Oreochromis niloticus: one gene and its partners. The protein of the gene in region 3 interacts with the protein of the main gene of each other region in a biochemical or structural test. Links are inferred from orthologs where the notes say so. Each region holds a gene or a part of one and is shown on either strand. Other genes may lie near its edges.

Region 1 (8,258 bases), on a different chromosome or scaffold from region 3:
TGTCAACAAGCTTGGATTTCCTGAATGTTCTCAGAAGCCAACTGATTCCAGTTAATATAAACTGTAGTAATTTTATAATTCACTGCTATGGTTCCATTATAATAAGTACCTAAACTAAAGGCTAACCAGTCCCCCTCATTTTGAAGAGAGGATTTTTAGCCTAGAGAGCAGCTGGGCTGGCTTCAGGCCAAACACAAATCTGCTAGAAAACGAACTGAGGCTGGGAAGAGACGAATAGCATTACCGGTTCTTTCATGCTCACAGAAAGCACAGGTTTGTTTAGATACTTCTTTTGTTTATTTTCCTGGTATTTATGGACACCCAACATCGTTTCAAGGAAAAGAGCTGAATCATTAAAAGTTCACTGCGGTAAACTGAGCAATACCACACAATGGCTGGCAGGTGCGGACACAAGGACCATGCTGTGCTGCAACTAAGTTGTAGATGGCGATGTTACAAGAAAGCTCTAAACAGCAACATTTAATAGCAATGCATTTACTTATGCATTTAGATTTCTGACGCAACGCAATAGTCGCGATAAACCTCTGCACTCGGGAGGGCCGCAGTATTTTTCAAATACATTCTAGGCGCACAAAAAAAAGAAAAGAAAAAAAATCGGGCACAATTTCCGCATCCAATGCGGCGCCAACTTCCGTGCATTTCCCAAGGCACACGTATCAGTTTATAACCCTCTCTACGACTTTAAATCATGAGGACACCTGGGCAAATTTTCATACGACTGCAACCAGCCTAAAATAGCTTTCATATCACCGTTAACCGAACGGTCTCGCTTGTCAAAACCGAAAATGAAGGCGTCCGGCATGATACAGCAAAGCCGCCCGGCTGTTACAGTAGTTTGCCAATCCTACTAGAAAACGTTAACGGGTAGCAGTCGATTTAAAGATCTCAATGTGTAGAAAAATATAAATTAACTGTCAGATAACAGCACCAATAGAAAACTAAGTAGGTTCCGAACCACTAATCGGTTAAGTGATTTGGCAAGTGGACAGAGTCTAAACATTAATAACTTAGAGGGAAGAAAACACCAGCTTGTCAGCTTATCCATTAGCAGCTCGGCCTAGGCCTGCATTACCCTCAGTGCGGAACACAATTTTACAAGCTAGCAGCTGTGGCTACACTCCAACCGACCTTCTCGCACTGGAGAGCAACGGATTTGACAGGCGTCTACCACAGCTTCTATATGGACATGGGTTAATGTCTAGGCATCTAACAAAAAGCACAATTTAACTTTGTCACTTAACATAAACACTACGAATACAAGCCAAGCCACTACACTCGTGCTCCATTGATTTCCCTTTCCTTACCAATAATCCTTCTCGGTCCCTTCCCAATGCGAACCCGCTCCTCTCCTGCTGTGTGTAGCTGTCAGTAAAAACGCTGATTGTATATTCGACGATTTGTACAGAGAAAAGAAACGCGATGCGGAATTGGGGTGGTCTGCACTATATTGTCGAGTCACTATGTCGTTGTGCCGATAGTCTCTCCTATGTAATTGCGCTGCTGGCTTTGCGACTGCAGACAGGAACAAAACCAAAATGGCAGATGGGGAGAAAGGGGCGGAGGAGCTGTGACGCAGGGGCTGAAATATTCAACAGGAAAGGGTGGTTGCAAGCACGCTGCTCATCCAGGTCCTCGGCTCATTGGCTCTTCAAGCCCAAGCTAAAGCGCGTTGATCCCGCCCTCGCTACGAGAGGATGCATGCCAAGTATCTTACTGTACAATGAACAGTAGGATCTCCAATAATCTAGTGAAAAAAAACAACACTTAATGAAAAAAAATAAATAAATAACTCCGGGTATGTCTGAGATCATTGCATGAAAGGATTCTCCCTTAACGGAGCTGAATGTAACTCATCAGTAACAACACCTTTGTTTCAGAGGCAGATTAGCAAGGATCAGTCATCTTCATGTGAACTCCATAAACAAAGCTGAACACCAAACTTGCAACAATGCACCATCATAAAGAACACATTTTACAACTCCATTGGATATACTCTCACTGGAGCACAATTTGCTACATTCCACTTAACACACCAATTGTTTTGACTATTTTCTGAATTCAGCAATTATCATCACTACTCAAGTCGGATAGTGTACGATCCTTATTAGCTAGTGATGCTGAGCGTCTGGGCCTTTTAGTCACATTGAGGTTAGGGGTGAGCACTCCTTGCAGAAGAGTATTGGGGGAGGGGGTGCCTAGTAAATGACAAAGGCCCAGGAAAAAAAAAAAAGAGTGGGCCGCATATACTCGGGTACACATGTCGAGGTGATCCCCTATTCTCATCTTCCAACTAGAAAATGCTTAAGACCCTAGTATTACACCGTTCCCTTTGAACTGAAGCATACGAATATCAATGATGTCCGAATAATAGGCTGCCTAACTTGACAAGCTAAACAGAGAGACTAGCCAGTGTTAGGTTAGGTTACTGTGATAACGCCGATAACGTGCCATCGAAACGGGAACCCTACATATACAATCAGATATACGAGGAAAAAAAATAGTGCCAGCATGTACGCTCGTGATGCCAGTTAGCTCGTGTCTGTCTTTCAACGTAGTATCCATCAAATGTTTGAAGCAACTAGCCTTCTAGCTACCATTAACGTTATTTATCGCCTAACATTAATTAAAGCAGCAACCCCGTGCACATAAAAACGTGCAAATGCTAATTTGCCGTTAACAGTTACGTGTCAGTGCCTTGTTAGCTACCGTTAGCGGAGCAAGGAGCTTAAATGGTTCGCTCAGCCGTCTGCAACTAACATTAACGACTACCGATAACGCACATCAAAAGACTGCGTAGTTGTTAGCTTGTGTGCGGCTAGCTTTCGAGCTATCTAGCCACCCAGCGACTTTTTCCCCTTCTTGTGCCGCTATGTTAGCTAACTAGCTAACATTAGCAAACTAGCTGAGGCTAACATCACCAGGACGAGAGCTTACACAAGTGTGCAGAACTTACCACATCCGATATTTACTCGGCCTGATCTGGAGTATTAAAAATCGGCTTCTGCTTAAGCAAAGAAAAACAACAACCAAGGTGACAATTCAACACCGCCACTGACTGCAAAGTGAAAAGTGTGTCACGGTGGCGGGCTCTGTGTGAGTTTTTTCCGCTGGACGGCTGCCTGTCCGGCTGTTCCCAACCCGTTTCCCCTCACTCTATTTCAGTTGAAAGCAAAGCAAAGCAGCAACATGTGCACGTTACAGGCACAACCATCATTCCGGGTCTTGGGGTTAATTGAAAATGAATAAGATTGGTTTGTGTCTGCTCTGTCTTTTAATTAATCGTTAACGTTCACACATCCCATCCACAAGATAAAGCGTACTGAATATTACACTGCTCTGTGGTTTAGTTGTATATTTAGAAACAAGACTACTTTTGTTACCCCCGTAGCCTTACAACCATGGACTAAACCGAAGTTCACGCAGTGCCTTATGGGACTTGTAGGCATATAGGATAATATAATAGAACGCCTGTCAGAAATCTGCCTTTTGGATAAATGTTGATTAAGCACGTAAAAAACAAAACAACAAAACACGGCTGTAATTCTAAAATGTTTTTTTGAAGAGTGATCAAATGATTTTAAACAACTCAATATATATGCATGTATTTACTGGCTTACTTTTATTGAAAGACTTGCAAACAGTGCACATTTTACATAGGGACAGAATAGTGGAGATCTAGACTTGTTCAGGAGAAAAGCACAGAATCTGGTATTACATACACCCAATAGCAGAACAAAAGTCAGAACAGTTTTATGATGAAAAGGATAAAATAGGCAGGATTGTCCAGTTAACGGTACCAAATGAATGTGCTGACAAAACTGGAGCAAACGAAAACAAACTATCTGGAAATGTTTGGGGGAAAAAGGAGAGAAAATGTAAGTGTTACCGTGTTATTGCAAAGCCTTTATACAGTATATTTTCCCCAGCTCTCTGACAGATGTGGAACAACTCATAAGTCTAAGTGACAGTTTAAGTTTAAATATACTGTTTAATAAAACAAATTTTAATTTCTTGCAACCAGGGGAATGGCTTTATCAAATCAGTTTCACATATTTCTGTACAACTTTGTGACACCAAGCATCACAACAGAATAAATAGCCACATAAATACATAGTAACCCCCCAAAAATAAATCATGGGACGATCTGCTTTGAACAAAAAAAACAAGTAAATGTCACTTTGGAAGTTCACACCATGGAAGAAAAATATGACTTAGGAACCTAGTTTGATTTTGTTTATTTACAGTTTTTAGGGTATAATACTTTATTTAGATCTTTTCTTTCACTGTTAGTTGAGAATTTCGCCATTCTTATTTGTGCAGCTTCATAACTTGGAAATTTGTTGAGTGCTTGGATTTCCATATGAGGTCGTTGTGTGGTAAACATTTAGGCACACAATCTGGATTTAGCATACTTTCTTTAGATCTTAACAAACTTTTAAGATCTTGATCTGTGAAGCTGTCATACAGAAATATATATATTGTACTCCAATCCCTCTAGACTCCAGTGATGAAAGTGTTTGGAATGTCAGAAGGGCGTAGGGTCATCTGGTATGAATATGCAGCCAAACCAAACAACAGTGTAATAACTTCTCTTTTTGCGCACAATTAGGCAGTCCTTCTGGGTGAGACAGTCATTAAATCCTTAAGTTTAACTATGAATACAGTGTTCCAGGTATTTTTGCCTTTGTGTATTGCATCATGCACACCTGCCTCATAGTCCCCTGCCTATCCCAGGTCTTGGTGACTGGCTTGAATGAGCAGGAGCCGCCTGTACATCTCTGTCTTCCTGCTCTCCCAGCGCCTGGGGTGAGGCTTCTGTGGGTGGAGATGGTGGGGGATAGGCAGGAGGAGGAATGCTAATGCGAGGAAGAGATGGCAGCACAGGTCTGGGAGAGGTAGGAAGTGGTGGTGGGGTGCCGGTGGTTGCAGATGTGGACCGCTGTGAGGGGCGTGCACGAGAGGTGGCGGGAGAGGCGTGTGTGCTCCGAGCTCGAGGTTGCTCAGCAGGACAGTCACTGATTTGCTCTAGGAGCGACGGCATGTCTCCCTCGATCTTCTCCAGCACAGCAGCCATTTGCTTTTCTATCTGCTCGATCACACTGTCCATTTGCCAATCGCTTGAAGTGCTGCTCCCCCCACTGTGCTGTAGCCCAGTTCCATACCTCCCTACACCTCCTCCACTTGTATACAGGGAACTGTATGGACTCCCATAGCTCCCAGCCATCCCCATCCCCATAGCCCCAACCTCTGGATTGTATGGTGTGGCATGACGGCCCAAGCTAGCAGAGCTTCCAACTGCATAGCAAGCCTGTCCCGGTGTAGCACCTGCTCTTGGTATGCTAAACTCAGCGCTGTATCTATCTGTTCTTCTGGCATTCCTGTCCTGCCTATCTACTGGACTGGCATCGCCCCTTAGCCTGACTCCTAGTCCTCCATCCACCCCTGTACCTGGCCCCACTGCTGGAGTGACTGGCGCCACCACAGACTTCTCTGCCACCGCTTCAGGTATTTGTGTCTGACACCAACTTCCGTCAGTCTCATCCTTTTGCTCGCTTTGTGTGACTGGTCTCTTCAGCGGTGAGGCTGATGCAACAGCGGATGCTGTGTGTGAAGGGGCATGAAGTGTTGCAGCCATTTTACATTTGCTGCTGGGATCAGGGGAGGACGATATGTGTTTTTTGTCAAGATTAATGCCCGAAGTGCTGTCTAATAGCTTTGAGGCCTCAGGGCTCACCGCAGGCGTCTGTTTGAATTCTGGAACAACTTTATTTTGGCCCAAATTTGCAGCCATTTTCCTGGTTCCGTCACCTGCTCCTTTCTTTACACCAACCTTGTCAGGCTGTTCCTGGGTACAGTTGGGGACCGCATTTGATTGACAGAAAAGGTCCTCTACACCTGATGGCGAAGTTCCTACAGATGGGCCTATATGCATCTTTACCTCCTCTTGTTTTTCTCCAGCCTTAACTGTCTCTTTACTCTGGTCCATACCAGAGGGCATACTCTCAATAGTAACTTCTAAAGACACACTACTTGATGTCACCCCACCATCACTCGTCCCTTTCTCTCCCTCATCACTTGTTCCCTGCGACGCACCCCCTTCACCATCCCCTGCCTCCTCACTACCCTGAACCTCAGCAGAGCTATCAATCAATGCTTCTGAATTCTTCAGGCGTTGCATGAATGTGGTGACACGGATCGCTTTCTGCGAAACAGACAGAAGTAGAAGAAAAACAAGAGAAGGATGGTTAGAATGAAAAGAATGAGATCTGCAGCACATTTAATTTTCGTTAAAATATATTTCCTCTTCCCCCCCCGCTAAAAAAAATAAATACTTTGATAACATAGTTATGGAAAAGCTTAAAAAATAAGCTTCAAGGACAAGCATTTGACAAAAAAGCCTGTCAACACACCATGATTTTAGCAACTTCGTACTAAGAGCTGAGATATGATTTGTGTGACATGAAGGTAGATTAGTGCCGGTTGTTTACTTCCAGAAGGCTATGACATATTGTGCCCTGGTTTAAATCAATCTCAAGTCTCACCCTCCCCAAGAAACTCCTTGAGTGCTTGCTGACTGGAAAAAGTAATCAAGCAAATGTGTATAAATCCCCTTCTTATAAATGTTACACCGATCTGATTCCTTCTGCTCTACAAACACTGAAGGAGTCAGGGGGGAATGTGTGAGCTTAATAACTGCTAATAAACCAGGGAAACGAATTCCCTTGAATTCTCTGGAAGTGAAAAGCCACTAGGACACAAAAATGCTACAGAAAACAATATCTCTTAACTGAGAAGCTTTAGTATTGCTTCAAAAATGATTTAAATGTAACAACAGTATGGGACAATGGGCCAGGATTCACGTAAGAGGAATGCCAGAGGGCCTTACAGTATAAATCACGGCAGTTCATAAGTTCACAGTGGCTAAGAACCCTTTTGTCCTTTCCATTTAACCCTCTCCTTATCTACACTAATTTAAATACTACAAAAGTAGTGAAGAAAAAAAAACTTGCTTCTCTGTTGCTTATCTCACATTTGCAGATCTGGATTCATAAACTAGTGCAGATGAGGAGAAGGAAAGGAGTAGAGCAGGCCACTTTGAACATCTGGGTGTAATCCAATGACAAAAAGTGGGGCAGAGTGGATGGATCTCTTCTGGGACAGGCAGAGTGACAGTGGGCAGGAACAGAGCTTGGGAAGAGTTTCAACGGCCCCTGACATGATCAATACATCTCAAAGCTGACTTGGGTTTAACATTTAATATAACATTTTTTCCAAACTGATTTTTATAGAGATAGGTTCTGATAAAAATCTCTTTTTAACTTAAAAGCATATTTGGCTATCAGAGAGATGCGTTATTGAGTCATTCTGGACTAAATGTGAGTTTCTCCCCACGCTCTGCCCTTCCACTGTCCTTCAGAATGAAAAACAATACCTTTAATTCCTGGGAACCACATGGAGAAAGAGAGAAGAGGATTGTTGCTGTTACTTAAGCTGTTAGGTTAGCATTGCCACCACTTTCCTTCTTTGTCTTCACCAGTCTCATCCCTGGATCGCCTTATCAGTTCCACCATGTCATTCACAGACTTTAAACATACCTCTGCTGAGTTGTGTTACGAGCTAAAAGCACATTAAGACCCTGGTCTTCATCTGGTTTCTCCTCCAATATTCCTCTGCTGCTATTATTTCCAACTTCATTTAATCTCACATTTACAGAGCAGGAGTGAATACATACCCGCCATTTGGCCTTTGCAAAGTTCTTTTCAAACTGGGCACACACGCCATCCTTCAGGTTCTTTTCTGATGCACCGTTCCCTGCAATCCTGAGACACAACATACAAGTAAATGTAGCTGTGTGCCAAGACTTTTGTTGCTATTGTCAGTATGTGCACATGATTACCACTCATGGTAAAGCGCATCTTGTGCTGTGATTCTCAGCATCTGGTCCACTTCCATCAGGCGACAGACAAGCTCCTTAGCTGAAAGAGAGAGAGAAACGAAAAGGCAAATGAGGCATCTTAAGAAATCATATATGCAGTCTTTAAAAAGCGAAAACATAAAACATTCTGTGCTGTTTTCAGTTTCGCTCTGCAAAGTATTTCATGACGATGGCAATTTTGATAAAAATGACAAAGTGGCACAAAATGTTTTACCTAATGATGCTCTAAATTAAGTTTACTGATAAACTGTCATATTAAGAAAGAAAGTACAGTATTCACTGCCACCATGTGGTGGAGTTT
Region 2 (7,409 bases), on a different chromosome or scaffold from region 3:
GCCAGCACTAGTTACATGACATAACATACATAACAGTGACATGGATGGAGGTGGGAGGCTCCACCTCCATCCATGAGGTGGGAGGCAGATAAAAACTTACGTGAGGGCAGCAAGGTGAATGTGATAACAGCGGCTCAGGGACAGATGCAGCAGGTTCTTGAGTTGTTTGAGGACAGGTAAGCAGTCAGCTGTCAGCAGAGTGCTATCACTGCGACACAGAAACACAGGTTTTAAGCTGCAGTTGTCTGTGGCCACAGTAAAGACATTTTTCCAACCATGACAATTTAATTTGCAATAGCAAATAAAACAAGACAACTAAAGAAAAACCCCACAATTAAATACCAAACACAGAACAATGACTAAACTTTTACCTCAAATCTAGAGTTTTAATCTGGGGGCATTTTTCCACCAGCACCTTCACATCTAAAAATGAGAAATGACACAGACACACGTCAGACACTGTCAGAATGATCAACTCAAACAATCTTTAAGATATAGATCTATATCTAGATCGATCTATCCATATACAGTTTTCACAAACTAATTTCACTTCAGCAGTACGCACCCTCAGTGTTACTCTTCAAGCTGTCAAGTGAATCATAAATTACTGTATCATTATGCAATTTGTTATGTGTTACATCATTAAGGACAAACCAGCTGTGTTTGTTAGTGTTGAAATCAGTGACTTGAAGATCTCCACCACTCACCATTTAGGGTGAGGCTCTCTCTGTAACCGCTGAGGTTGAGATGTGTAACACTAGAACTCAGATTATCAACGACGCTCTTTATGTGATTATTATCAAAGGTGCACCATGATAAGTTCAGCTGTTGTATACTGAAACACAAAATCAGAGCATGAGTAAATCTGAGGAAGAGGAGAAACTGAAACTGTGGTTACAAAGTGAATAAAGGACTGAGCAGCTGACCGGGAACAGGATTTCAGCATCCTAGCGAGCGCAGGAGCAGAGAAGGCGGAGCAGCCGCTGAGGTTGAGCTCCTGTAGGCGGGTGTTCTTTGCCAGACAGCTGAGTGAGAGAGAAAAAGAGATTAACAAATACACCCAAACATGAGCTCCAAACACACAGTACAGATTTAAGCTGAAACAGATTCAGAAAATGCATTTACTGAGAAGAATTTAGTGCTTTGCCAGTTTACAATCAACAGTTACAGCACGACTTTTCCACCTCTGATGAGGCTCTGCTACAAACAGCATCACTGACATGTTTCCCTCAGCATCTGAGGTCATGAAAAGCTCAGACATCTTTTTGAGAAGAGAAAAGCAGCTGCAAAGACACTGGGAATCAGTGACATCCCTGCTACACTAATCAGTAGCAAATAGTTCAGATCTCACCTGATGATGGTGTCAGAGAGCTGCAGACCCTCCAGGCTCAGACATTCTAGCAGTCTGCAGCGACAGATGAGGTCTTCCAGAGCCAACGTGGGTATGACTGAGTTTGACAGATCCATTTGAACCACCTGCAAAGAGCTGGATAATGGAAAAGAAAGAAAAGAGCATTTTTTTTCCACTTAATAAGTGCCACAGAACTTAATACTTAATAGAGCTCTGTGGTGTGGAGGAGAATTAAACATTAGACATTAGATAGTTTTCATTAGATTTTCACAGGCAAGGAAAACTCAGAGTAAGTCTTCCAGTGAAGAAGAAAATCAGGACACACCATGATATATGTGACTAACCCTCTGTATGTCAAGTGCAACTCTTCCACAAAGGAGCGAGGGCAGCGCAGTCTGCGGATGCCAGTCCTCAGCACCTGCTGCAGAGCCAGACCAGTGTGGGTCATCCCCTCTAGATCCACACTGTGCCACAGAGACTCGTCAAACCTGTGATGAATGGACAAGCAAAGAGGTGTCATGGAGGCAAACCCCTACAGAAGCCTGCAGTAAATAACCTGCACACAGCAACCCGTTCTGTTAAATGTGAATGTGGGTTTCCATTGTGTGTGTCATTGAGAATATTAAGCAGCACAAACTCGTCTATCTACCAGTTTGTCAGAATTTAATACTTTTGAATGTAGCCACAGATTTCCATATTTTTGAATACTCTGATAAGTGTCACGAGTTTAAACACACAGATGTGAGAAAGAACCAGAGGAGTGGTTTGAAGTATGCAAACTCAATCTTTAGGATCCGCCCCGCACTTAAAAAAAAAAAAATTTCAAGCGGGAAGAAGCAGGGCCAGAGATTTTGTTAATGATCATTATGACTCACGCCAAACGTTGCCAGCGCTTGCAAACTACAGATATTCTGACGAGGTCCTGGAGAGGGAGGCAGAAGAAAATCCTAAGAACAACCTCGTCTGGTAGTTGATCCCATGAAATGTCTGCAGAGGGAAGGAGAAAGGGGGAAAAAAAGTTAAGTTGATCACAGGTGAAAGTCCTCATCTTAAACCTCAGAAAACCATCTCCTCCTACTTGGTGAGGGGTCTTTCCTCCTTGATCTCCTGCCAAGAACAAATTGATTGCTGTCATTCTCCTTCCCCTTGCTGAAGAGCCGCTGTTTCTTGCGCGGTGGTGTGAACTGCAGGATGAGATCTGTTGGGGTCCACTCAGTGTCCAGGCCCTCGCTGAGAATGCCTCTGGACTTGCATTTGTTGCTTTTCTTGGGCTGAGTCAGCATGGAGTCCTGCAGACTAAGGCAGGGACGATCCTGCAGTGGGACACTGTTGGAAGCAGAAGTTAATCAGACATGTGGGCATGGTTAAACAAGGCTTCATCATGCTGTCTTACACGAACACCCCACAGAAAGGCTACTTAGCGGCCTAGCTTCCTCTAAAGAACCCCTCCATGCCCGCCATATTGATGTAGCTACCAGCGGTGTGACCGCGCAAACTGACTGCAAAACCAAACGACAAACACTGTCTCCTGTCTTTCAGTACACAGACACATGCAGGTGGTCCAGGACGTCCACTCCTGCTCCGCGGTTAGCTTACAGTGTGTACCCCGGGAAGAAAAGAGCCGCTGACAGGCGTGGAGGGAAAGCGCTGGGGAGAAAGCGCGCTATCGGTACAGTTTACACTAACTACGCTAAGACGCCGGCGGTTTACCGAACACACAATTTCGCATAATTCCGCCTTGTTCACACCGCTTTAGAAATGGAAAGCACAGTTTTGAGTTGGGACAGTTAAACAGCACCAAGCTAGCCTTGGGATGGCGGCTCATTTTCACATGTGCAACACATCTCAGAGATAACTTATGCACCGCTATACCTCAAATATTTTTAGTAACAGAATGTAAGAACCACTGAGAACGATACCTGTCGCCTGGCATTTCCTTCAACTCGAAACAAGTGCGATCCTACACAAAAAGTGCAAGACTGTTTGGATCGCAGCCCTCCAACCGAGACTCTTTAAATTCGCCGCCAACACTGGGGCGCCCTCTTTTCGTTACGTCACGGACGTGCCTGCACGTACATCGCGTTACGTCATACGCATTAGGGATTTCGCCAGGTGGCAGTTTTTTGAGTATATATGCAGTAGAGTTATGTGCCATATTATTGGCTTTAGAACGGGTGGAAGACATAATTTCAAAAGTAATAATAGTGATTCATTGTTAGCATTGTTAAGTATTGAAAAATCGTAGATTTTGTGTGTGAACAAAGCAAAAATATAGTAATAATGTGGACTCCCGCTCATATAGGTATTGTGGGTAATGAAAGAGCAGATAGGTTGGCCAAAGAAGCTATTAAAAAAGTAGATATTGATATGCAGATACCGTTGTCGAATTCTGAAGGGAAACGTTTGGAAAGAAAGTAAGAATTTATGGGAAATGGCGCGGGGTAATGAAGTAAAAGGGAGACATTTATATAAAGTACAAAACAGTTCACGTTACAAGAAATAGAGGTGTAAGTAGGCAGGAGGAGGTAATTATAATTATACGTAGAATAAGAAGAGGTCATTGTTTTCTAGATGGCACTCTTTTTAGGATGCGGAAACATCTTACTGGTTTATGTAATCGGTGTAATGCTCTGGAAACGATTGAACATGTGCTTTTTAGCTGCAGGAAGTATGTCAGTCAAAGGAGAATGTTGAGGGTAGAAATGGGTAGTACTACCGAACCCAAGTTTGAAATGGTGGTTGATCAGTTGAGTCATGATGAAGGGAAAGGAAAGACTTTGTTTTTTGAGAAATACTGGACTCATAGTACGCGAACTGCGCGTACTCCGAAGCGTGCGGTCGCCGGATTGGGACACAGCCATCAACAGGATCTAAGGGTATGGAAGTGATGTAGCAGTAAAACCCAGGAGATGGCAGTAGTACAACATCGTTGGATGCAAGCTGCTGTTATAAATGAAAGAAGAAGAAAAATTGTATTTTTAAGGCAGTAGGTAATAGGTCCTGATTATTAGCAGGTCTTTTTCCTTAGTCGTGCTTTAATAAAGCAGGGAAGCACTTGTGTTACCAACTGGGTCAAAAGACGTATGAAGTAAGATTAGGGATGTGTGCGACTAGTCGACTAATCGCGCTATTGTCACTAGTTGGTACCAAACTTACTAGTTGTTGTCCTAAATGTTATGCAGCCATTTGCCACCAGACGGTTGTTGAGAAACACCATACATAACTTAATATAGCCCTGATCTTTTTGCTATTAGAATGACACTGCAGATACAAATGGCAGAAAATAGCTTTCTCCTAAAGGTGGGCTTTCCCTTAGTGACAGGGTTCAGAATAGAGCCACTATTCTTCCACATCAAAAGGAAACGGCTAAGGCTTTTCCCGAATGGATAAGGTTTTCTGGCCAGACATGTCCTACTGGGAGGAGGCCCCGGTGCTGAACCGGGACACCCTGGAGAGATCATATCTATAGGCTGATCTGGGAAAGGCTGGATGTGTTCCCGGATAAGCTTGGAGGAGGTGGCAAAAGGGAGGGCTTCCCTGCTGTCCCCACGACTGACTTCAGATAAGGGGAAGAAAATGGCTAGATGATTTATTGTTTTGTGGTTTTAGATTTTAACTTTTATCGAAACGATTCTCAAATTTAACTAAATATCTGAGTGTTTCTTACTTTTAGACTAGTCGGTTAGTGTAATTTCTCAATTAGTTGAGTAAGAAATTAGTAGCTAGGAACGTTCCTAAGTAAGATCATTTTTTTACTATACTTTTCAGGGTGTCTTTGAATTCAGCACTTTGTAGGTTAATCATTTTCATTGCCATCAAACCGTGTGGTATTTTTTGGTTCCTAACACATTACATCCACATCAGTATAGATGTAGAGGCAGCATGATTTTTTTCTCATTGAGATCTAAGGTGTTTTCAACGTGTTCCTTTATTATTTATTTATTTGCTTTAGTATGGATGAAGTTTATGAACTGATGAGCCTCTGACACTAAATCAGATTAATGCATTCAAACAAATATTATTTTAAGTTCTTTCTGAAGAAGTAAATTATTTTGAATTTGAATAACTCCTATAACACCAGAGAGTTTCAGGAGGCTTCACCAGCAATATTGGACCAAAACATGACTGTAGAAAGCATCTTTTATTCAGTTATAGGTTTTCCGTGTTTAATGACTCAAGAGTGAGCATGTTCGAACCAGTTTATTTGATATTATGTAACATTCATTGTAGCTCAAGAGGTCAGAATTGTGCCATTTTAAAGTGTTGATATTCAACACTATTAAAATTTTCAGCGACTGATCTTATATGATATACTTATGTAAACAAAGTTGGCTTTTTTCCATTCAATTAAATTTAATTTAAATGGCACCAAATCGCAACGTTGATTGACGTTAATTAATATTAACAATAATTCAGTGTCCAACCTAACAACCATCAGGTCAGTGGCCAAGTGTTTTATTGCCCCATGTGTGTTTTATTTATTTTTTTGCTTGTACAAGAGCTTTTATTTTTATATTTTAAATATTAATGCAATTTATATTATTTCACTTTCAATCTAAAAATTGTTATGAAAGCCTTGAAATTAATATGGTCTAGTATACATCATGCCCTTCTTTACTATCACCCCTGTTCCCTTCCATGTAAAATAGGACAGCTGCTGTCAGCCATGATCAAGCTGTATAATTTAAACATAGTATCAGACTAAGTTAATAGTTCATCTGCATATTTTAATACAACTTTTTGAGACTTACTGGAGGTTTTTCTCTGAGTAAAACAGATGTTGGTGGATGGAACAGCTATAAAGTTTCCTTTTCTTCATGTCAGATGAAGGACTCCCGCAGCTTTTTACCAGATGACCAGTGCTTACCTGCTTACCGCTCATTCTTCGTAGTGAATCCTGTTTGGTGTGCCAGCTGGAAGTCCATCCCGAATGTTTGCCTAATCTACTCTCTCACACGCTCTTCAGAAATATTCTGGATATTCTCTAAACCATACAGGCTCAAATATATACATGTCTCCCACTAATCCCCTTCTTTCGACTTCTCCCTTTAGGGGTCGCCGCAACATGTCATTTGCCTCCATTTCAGTCTGTTCCACACACACATTTCAACCTATTTAAAGTTATTTATGGTAAATGGTAAATGGCCTGTACTTGTATAGCGCTTTACTTAGTCCCTAAGGACCCCAAAGCGCTTCACACTACATTCAGTCATTCACCCGTTCTCACACACATTCACACACTGGTGATGGCAAGCTACATTGTAGCCACAGCTGCCCTGGGGCGCACTGATTTATCCATCTAACAGTGTCTCAGAGGCTGTCTGTGATTTTGAGTATGGATATATAAGTATGGGAAGCACAAATATTTATAGTTTGGAAAAAATGATGTAATTCCACCTCAGGTCATATGTGCGTACGCTGTTATTTATAACTATTGACCTTTCTCCCTCGTTCTCACACATACACGCAGTTGTGCACTAAGGTAACAGTCCCAGACCCTGACAATGACTGACAGGAGGGACAAGGTGTGTCAGATTTTCAAAATAAAACTTTCTTATTGGAAGACTAGTATGCTTTAAAAATGTGAAATGTTCAAAATAAAAGCCCTCAGTTACAAAAAAAAAAGTCTCTGTGTATTTTTTTAATACAAGATAAGTATGTTTTTAAAAGAATGTAATTTTGTGACCCTAACTTACAGCAGACAATACATTGGATCAAGTTTGGGCAGCAGCAACTATCCCTAACTATTATGCAAAAAATTACATAGTCTAGTGAGCACGGTTCCACACTCTGAGACTGGACAATATCTTGGTTTGGTTAATAATTTTGATGCATACTTAAGAATATTCCAAACTGACAGGTTTTTCTAAGTAGTTATTTCTTGCCAAAACCTTATCCTGATTCAGAAAGTAACATCCAACTGCTGCAACTTTTTCATATGATGAAATTCCTGAAGCTACAATAGTGGTTCCATTTCTATTGTCTTCACATGTGCTCCCCAGACATAGCATTTTAATTTAAATTATCATTGTTATCTAAGTGATACAATTGTATAACT
Region 3 (8,045 bases):
CCTGAAGGAAATTCAAAGTCCTTCTTTGGATGTTTGCTGCCTTTTGTTCAATTTCAATTCTCTATCAAGATGATCCCACACTGCTTCAATAATGTTAAGCTGGGAAGGCCGATCGATAGTGTGTTTGGGATCACTGTCATGAAGCCGTTGCCAATCAGATGCCTTCCAGCATTTTTTTTTTCCTGTTGATAATTCAATTAATTCTGACTTCCTGTCCAACACCACTGGTTGAAAAGCAGCCCCAAACTATGACAGAGAGCCCACCATGTTTTGCAGAATGTTGTAGACACTCAGTGTTAGACGACCTCTGTACATGTTAATGACAATTTGAACGAAAAACTTCAAATTTGGATTCATTACTTTACAAGACCTTTTGAACAGATTCCGTCCAGTTCTTGTGTAATTTGGTATACCTAACTCACTCCTCCCTGTTTCACTTTCTTCCTGCCACCCTTCCACTGAGACAGCTCTTGACTGAAGTAAAGAAATGTGCTGTGGAGTAACAAAGTGCCTGAAGATTCAATTTCAAATTGGTTATTTGCCAAGTTGTCTACCGATGATAAACATGGCACAGATTCATCCCTTGCGCAAGGTCTCTTTTTATGCTTGAATGATTCATGGTGGCTTAACAAAGATTCCTCTGAGAAAGGTCAGGTACAAGAACTGGACTGAAAATAAGCAAAATAGATGCCAGTGATCAAGGAAGAGCACTGAAAGGCCTTCAGGAAACCTGGAGAACTATTGCTCAAGAGCACTTAAAAAATGTCAAGAGCACTTGACATCTGGAAGCAAAATATAAAGAAAAATATACAGAAACAGGGGATAGTTTAAGAATTTTGCACAGTGCTATAACGTGAGGCTTCATAACAGTAGCTCATAACGCAGTGGGTGATGTTATGTTTTACATAAAGTCTAAGCTTTACACTACAAATTGAGCTGGGTTTTTAATATTGTATTTGTGTATGGGCATATTATGAAACACTGTATACTCACATATTTTTATTTAACCCTAATAATCACAAATCACATTTAAAGATGATACAGTTACTGGGTAAAACACACAAACAAAAGTGCAGGTTCACACTCTTAAATCGGTCCTTTCGTAAACAGAACTTTTACACTTTATTTAAGCACATCTACAAACCTTTATGTCCTCTAGCAAGTCGTCCATGTCAGTGACCGTGAGCCCATTGAGGAACGTGTATGGTTCGTGCATTTCCACTGCCAAATCATCATCTTCTGCACTGATGTACTTCGCCAGGAGGTCAATCGGCTTCGCACGGCCGTCACGAATTCTAATCTTAGACCTGCAGAGACAAAGCACAAGGGTGTGAAGCAGGGTTAATTAGATAAATAGATGTAGAAGGTGGAAGTTTAAACAAACTGATCCAATCATAGTGGAGTACATAAGAATCCTCAGAGGTATGAAAAGGGAGATTGTTAATATAAGAGCCACACTAACCTTAGTTTGGCTTGATGCAGATGGAAGTTGTCTTCCTGTTCAGCCCAGGTCTTGAAATATTCTGCCTCTTTCTCTCTCTGCAGCATTTCCAGCTCCTGCTCTCTCATGGCCTTCTCTCGCTCCCGCTCCAGACGCAGCTGCTTCACCTACATCAACATAAAGTTGGTGTATAAATATGTCGCTCCCAATCTCTAATCTTAAAACTGATCCTCTATGTTTTGCCTGGGAACTGAAATTCCATCCTTTTTTTAAGCATTTGTATAAAAAGTCAGGTACTGTGTGAGCACTAATGTGGAAGATTTTCATCCCACAGTTCTTACCTTCTGCAGCTCTCTGCGGTTCTCTTCCTGAATACATTTGTTCCTTTCTTTGAGCTCTTTCTCTCCGAGATGACCAATACCTTTCTTATCTAATGCCTGAGGAAGCAAAAAGAACCATGGATGGGATACAAGGTCTCAAAGGCAGGTTATGACAGGCAAATATCCAAACTTTTGCAGTCAGGAACTCACCTTTTGCCATTTAAATGTTCCCAATAAGTTGTTGTCCCCAAAAGGATTGTCTGCATTGGTGTATCCCAGGTATTCCTCACTCCAGCCCATTTTCTCTCTCCTTTTCTTCTCCTTTGCTTCCTTCTTTGCCAACCTTCTGGCCCTCTTCTCCTCTGGTGTCTCAAGAGCTTTCATCATCTCCTTCTGTTTTTTCCTCTCCTCCTTTTCCTTGACTGCGCCTGTCTCGCAATCAGACTCTGAGCTCTCAGATGATTCACTCGAACTGAAGCGCTGCTTGCCTCTGCCCCAGTCAGACTTCTCTTGGCTTCTCTTACTCCTCCCGCGCTCCCTGTCTTCACTTTTCTTCCTTCGCTCTCGACTTTTGTCTCTGTCTCTGCTGCTGTTCTTGTGCCTCTCTTTCTCTCTGTCCCACTCCCTCCTCTGTCTGTCTCTTGGTGGACTCCCTCTCTCGGCACTCCTTCTTCTTCTCCTTTCTCTGTCGCCGCTCCCATCACGGGAGTCAGAACTGGACTGGGATCTTCCCTTTCTCCTCTCTTGGGATGTTGTTCTACGACTCTCCTGTTCCTTTCTCCTCCTTCTCATTTTGGTATTATCTGAATCAGGACTGAGACAGAAAGTGTGATTTAATACAGTGACTGCAGGAATACAATATTAACTACAGAAGAACCACATAAGAGGAATCTCTGAAAGTGAAGTCCTGTTGAATACAGTTAAAAACCGATTTATTTATTTATATGCAATGGAGTTACCATAACAAGTTGATATAGGGATTATATCTACAGCAGCTCTTTTCATTCACATAAAGCCTAACACTAACGTCACTGAACATCAGCATCGCTATCGGTTGATTGGATTACTGTGCAGCAGCCTGGCACTCAACCAAGGATGGGTTGAGTGCTGTAACATCATTACAGCAATATACTGTGCACACATCCCTTTTGTAATATTTTATGACTGAAGTGACAACAAGCATCATGTTGTACAATGATTTAAACCCTACATCCAATCAACAATCACACAGAACAACAAAAGATTCAATTCAGAAATATAATTTGCTTTTCAAAAAAGAAGGGTAATTTAAATTTGATTCCAGCAATACATTTTTAAAAAGCTGATACTAGGAATAGAAAAACCTGGTGATCAAAGAAGATGCCTTCTCCTCAGGGAGGAGACCCCGAGCTAGACCCAGAACCCACTGAAGAGATTATACATCTCACTTTGCCTGGAAACGCCTCAGTATCTCCCAGCAAGGACTGGAAAGTGTTGCTTGGGAGAAGGATGTCTGGAATACCCTGCTTAGGCTGCTGCCATTACAACCTTTGGATGATTGATTGATGGATAGACAGAATATCTACGAAGGTCTCATTGGCATGTTGCCTTCTAGCAAGCAATACTGCGCCACACGCACTGGTGGTACTGGTGGTAATGGTGGTTCTTCAAATAATAAAACAACAGACACATCTTTTTTCTTCCTTTTTTGAAGTAAGGCTTTGCTCAGTTCTGCAAGTCAACATTAAATTATATTTAGCGCCTATGCAAAAGCATAGATGCATGCTGATTCCTGGAATTCCCCCCAAAAAGAATAGTTTTTGTTGATGTCCTTTCGCTGTCGCAAAGCGGACAGAAAAACGTTACGTTTACGGAGTCACTCGATGTGTTCAAATGAGGCCTGCTACTACCATCATAATATATAAAATCCCAAGTAAGCAGCCAACTCCGCTTCGTAAAGCGATTACCTTGATGACCGACCCTTCGACCTGTTCCTCTGACGGTGAGTCTCTCGCCTCCGGTCGCTCTCCGAGCCGCTGCTAGAACCAGAGCGGCCCCTGTGCTGAGGCCGACGTCGGGCCGGAGAGCCATCGCTGGAGTCCCGACTGCCGGATCTTCCCCTACCACGAGCGGCCCTTTTCCTGTCGGCAGACCGACTGCGGTCTCTCCTCTCATCTGGAGATCTAGACTTGTTTCCTCTTGACTTGTTCGGCCGATCTCGGCTCCGACTTCTGGACCTGGAGCGAGTCCGACGTCGAGACTTGGAACTCATTGCGAAGTTTCTCTCAATAGGGGGTCCCAACACCAGTATGTCGCATAAATAAGATGTAACAAAGGGGACTTTCTAAAACATATTATGTTTGCGCCAGGTTAAGCTGCATTGGAACGTTTAAAAAGCAAATAATGTCAATATTTCACATTTTCAGGTCATATTCTAAAAAATAAAATATAAAATAAAACCGTTATATTTTTAACTAGATAACGGGGCAGCAAAAAGCCCCGCTCGAAGGGGCTTTCTGTAAAATGGCGCGTATTATTTACGTCACGAGAACCTTGAGAAAAATAAACTAGAAACAAATTCCCCGTTGTTTATATGAAATCCGCACCCCTCCTCGGAGTACCATCTGAATACAACTGAGAACCGTCAGTGTACTGAAATAATTTCAGGGTGAAAACAGCTCAGAAGCACGAACAATATTTGGCGTTTTTGTGACGTCAGAAAGTGGCAAATGCAGTTCCCTAAATTCCCTCTCAAATAAAATGTTAAAGAAATAGTCTCTAAAGGCTGTTATTTTTTTCCTGGATAAATTTAATTTTATATAAACTTATGTAATAAGATAGTTAACTGCGTCACCGTACGCCTTCTTTGCTTTTCTAAAGGGGAAAAATAATGTTGACAGGTGGAAACTGGACTACAAATCCCGCAATCACAGGGCGCCATTGCCTGTTTGTAGAGGAAAGGGGACTCCTTTCAGCAACATTCTTCTCTATCCTGTCTTCTCTTATGGCTGTATGAGCTATATTTTCCGGCTGTTGCCGTAAAGAATTCATGGGTTTGGGTATATAGGTGTGTTTTCTGTCCTAGCCTGGCTCTTGTATGCGGTTAGGAAGTATTCGCGCCGCGCTAAGATCGGCTCGATCTGGTCGGTGAGGTAGGGCTTGTTAGCTAGCTCCTATTAGCCTACAGCTATCAGTAGATTTACGGCTTATATCCGCGGCTGTTCTGCCAGGTAGATCAGCTAAAGCTGGAGGCGCGGGTCTGACACAATGGTCGGTCAGTTGCAGATTTCTCTGAGTGTTGACATTGGTAAATAATTCCTCTGTTTCGGGGACAGATCAACGCCACCTTTGTTTGGCTCGAGCACAGCCTGACACGTTTGGCCTGTTTTATTGTCTCGGTACTGTTGTTGTTGTTTTCGGGGTAGGCTGCTTGGCTCATTAGGCTAACTTTGCCGTGTTCGCGTGAACAGAAGGAAGCAGTCCACTGTTCACTCCAGAATATCCTGACAGCCACCCAGACCACCAGCAACAACAACATTATGGCGCAACCCGACGCCCCTCATGTAGCCAGTTCACAGAAAGCACTCATGCTGGAACTGAAGAGCCTTCAGGAGGAGCCCGTGGAGGGATTCAAAATAACACTGGTGGACGAGGCTGATTTATACAACTGGGAAGTGGCCATTTTTGGACCACCAAACACTCACTATGAAGGGGGATATTTCAAGGTAAGAAAGCCAAAGTTGTGTGATTACTTCACTCAATGTAGTACAATACACAGGCTTTACTGAATGAATAAAGGTTGCCACACAATTCAAGCCCCAAAGGTCTCTTTTTGTCCTAGGCTCGGATCAAGTTTCCTCTAGACTACCCTTACTCCCCTCCGGCTTTCCGCTTCCTCACCAAGATGTGGCACCCCAACATCTATGAGGTAACAACATGACATACTTGTATGCCCTCCCACTGCTGTTTGTGATGGGAGCAGCTGTCCTAGGCTTGGCTCATGATTCATATGATCAAATACCACTTGCATCATGGGGCCCATTAGACCCATTTAAAAAAAAATGTTTGTTTGTTTGTTATTGAAGCCTGGCAGTTAATTGATTGACTGCCAGCAACCTTAAGGTGTTCAACCCAGCTGAAAACCACAGGCGATCAAGCTTCATAATCTCTCCATTAGGAGAGGTTGGCTTTTTTTTTTTATTTTTTTTATTTTTTTTATGTTTTGTGTAGTGTATTTAGTATTTTTATACAGGACTTTATCAGATTCTTGTTTTTAAAAAAGTCTATAACTAAATTTGACTGAATCACATTTGAAGGAGCTTTCTTTTCCCCTGTGTCTTTTAGAATGGAGATGTGTGTATTTCTATACTGCACCCTCCAGTGGACGACCCACAGAGCGGAGAGCTCCCTTCAGAGAGATGGAATCCCACCCAGAACGTCCGGTTAGCACTCCCTCATTATCTCTCTCATGTCTCTCCTTTCTTGGGTACCTCCCTTCTTTGTCCTTTCTCAGCCACTTCAATAATTTACCTGAGTCAGAGTCTTATCGCATGACATTCGTCTTCATTGGCTTCTTTTTACTTGTATCTAGAAACTGAATCCATATGTGGGCATTCAATGTATTATACACCTTGTTAGTTAAAGCAGTTTGAGTTGCCTCTTGTTTTTTTGCAGTATGGAGGCATTATCAGTCAGTAGGAAGAGGAAGATACCCTCTTTTATACTGTTTTATTATAGTAGAAGTGCATTATTATGCATTGCTTTCAGAGCACAAGTTATTACACAAAAATACAAACGTCACCATTTCTGAACATGCTGAACATTCAGTGACAGTCTTAGGACAACAATCCTCCTCAACCTTGTTTAAATAACATTTACAAAGGCGTAGAGAGGTCTGTTTTAATCAAAACACAGTCCAGTGTTCTAGTTGCTCATTGTTTTATCCAGTGCAAATTACCTGACTGTCGTTTACAGCATTTTTGAACAATTTAAAATAATCTATTATCTACCAGAATAATTAGCATTTAAATCCATACTGAGAGACTCTTTATCCATATTTCTAAATTCACCCAATACTAAAATAAAATGTAATTTTTAAAAAAATTAACATAAGGGAGAAAGTAGAAATTCCTTCTTTTTTTTTTTTTTTCTTTTTTTTTCCTTTTTGTTTAAATTCACATAACTTGTGTGTTCGTGTCCTGCAGTAGATGCCACGCTGACTGCCACCTTTGTGTTTGCTTCCAGGACCATTCTGCTGAGTGTGATCTCACTGCTGAATGAACCCAACACCTTTTCTCCTGCCAATGTGGACGCGTCTGTCATGTACCGCAAATGGAGAGACAGCAAAGGCAAAGACCGGGAATACGTGGAGATCATCAGGTAAACAGTTTGCATGATTCACAGTTAAAAGAAATGGTATAAACTCACTCGCAAAACAAAAGTAATTTCATGTCAGAAGATGTATCTCATAGTTGTAGAGAAGATTTTACTGATTCAGAGGGTCAAACTAATGCCCTGCATCAAGCAGAGAAATACAGCTGTATTGATTGTTGAAACAGCTAAAACTGTCCAGTGCATTATTAAAACTTGGTGAACCGCCATTCTTCTGGGAATAAATATGTTCAGAAAATAAAAATCCTGAATGATCAAAGCTGGAGTTCACTTAAACATTTGGCAAAATCAAATTGCCCAAATTGTGAAAGAGTGTTAGCAAATCCACTGCAGGTGTTTTTAAGTACCTTGGAGGCGACCTAACCAGATGACTGTTGTGGGTGTGTGGACTCTGTACTCTGAATGTTACTTGTAAAACATTCATAGCATGAAGGTAAAATTTTGCACAGCTTCATTCATTTAGCAAAAGATCAGCTGACTGTTGGCGGATAAGGTGGGAACTTTTCTTCAGATTTGGTTGATCTTTTATGGAAAGACAGAAAATAATAAATCTCCAGCTGTTTGTAATAACGCCACTCTGATCTCCCCTCAGAAAACAAGTGTTGGCTACCAAAGCTGAAGCTGAGCGCGATGGCGTGAAAGTGCCCACTACGCTGGCGGAGTACTGCGTCCGCACACGTGCCCCAGCCCCCGATGAAGGTTCCGACCTGTTCTATGACTATTGCTACGACGAAGACGACGTGGAAGGCGAGGATGGCGACTGTTGCTATGACGAAGACGACTCGGGCAATGAGGAGTCCTGACGTGCTTTTTTGCGGCACCCCGATCTTAGCTGACGTGTGCTACCCCTCCTCTCTCTGCCCGGGTTGCCAGATATTCTAGGTTTACAACCAAGAAAGATTGGAAGCTTCCCT

The links.
Region 1: of the proteins of cdc34b (region 3) and uba1, one has a biochemical effect on the other in vitro, tested with the Homo sapiens proteins (7 studies listed by BioGRID, with this or other methods). The link is inferred for Oreochromis niloticus from reciprocal best matches to the Homo sapiens genes CDC34 and UBA1.
Region 2: the proteins of cdc34b (region 3) and skp2 form a complex in vitro, tested with the Homo sapiens proteins (3 studies listed by BioGRID, with this or other methods). The link is inferred for Oreochromis niloticus from reciprocal best matches to the Homo sapiens genes CDC34 and SKP2.

Annotation. Positions count from the first base shown.
Region 1 is NC_031984.2:18,166,299-18,174,556, forward strand, and holds the start of uba1 (ubiquitin-like modifier-activating enzyme 1), read right to left. Parts: upstream 3,199-8,258; 5' UTR 2,975-3,198; intron 1,565-2,974; exon of another isoform or gene 1,326-1,564; intron 1-1,325. Other genes in the region: camkvl (caM kinase-like vesicle-associated, like), read right to left, coding at 4,733-6,223, 7,454-7,462, 7,754-7,841, 7,919-7,997. UniProt on the Homo sapiens protein: Catalyzes the first step in ubiquitin conjugation to mark cellular proteins for degradation through the ubiquitin-proteasome system.
Region 2 is NC_031972.2:8,165,421-8,172,829, forward strand, and holds the start of skp2 (S-phase kinase-associated protein 2), read right to left. Parts: upstream 3,437-7,409; 5' UTR 3,285-3,436; coding exon 3,271-3,284; intron 2,678-3,270; coding exon 2,430-2,677; intron 2,339-2,429; coding exon 2,227-2,338; intron 1,840-2,226; coding exon 1,696-1,839; intron 1,487-1,695; coding exon 1,352-1,486; intron 1,026-1,351; coding exon 927-1,025; intron 836-926; coding exon 708-835; intron 424-707; coding exon 372-423; intron 209-371; coding exon 101-208; intron 1-100. UniProt on the Homo sapiens protein: Substrate recognition component of a SCF (SKP1-CUL1-F-box protein) E3 ubiquitin-protein ligase complex which mediates the ubiquitination and subsequent proteasomal degradation of target proteins involved in cell cycle progression, signal transduction and transcription.
Region 3 is NC_031982.2:12,765,432-12,773,476, forward strand, and holds the start of cdc34b (cell division cycle 34 homolog b), read left to right. Parts: upstream 1-4,657; 5' UTR 4,658-5,279; coding exon 5,280-5,465; intron 5,466-5,581; coding exon 5,582-5,668; intron 5,669-6,084; coding exon 6,085-6,182; intron 6,183-6,984; coding exon 6,985-7,119; intron 7,120-7,723; coding exon 7,724-7,934; 3' UTR 7,935-8,045. Other genes in the region: splicing factor Cactin, read right to left, coding at 1,145-1,307, 1,463-1,608, 1,783-1,878, 1,972-2,575, 3,708-4,012. UniProt on the Homo sapiens protein: E2 ubiquitin-conjugating enzyme that accepts ubiquitin from an E1 ubiquitin-activating protein, and catalyzes its covalent attachment to other proteins by an E3 ubiquitin-protein ligase complex. In vitro catalyzes 'Lys-48'-linked polyubiquitination.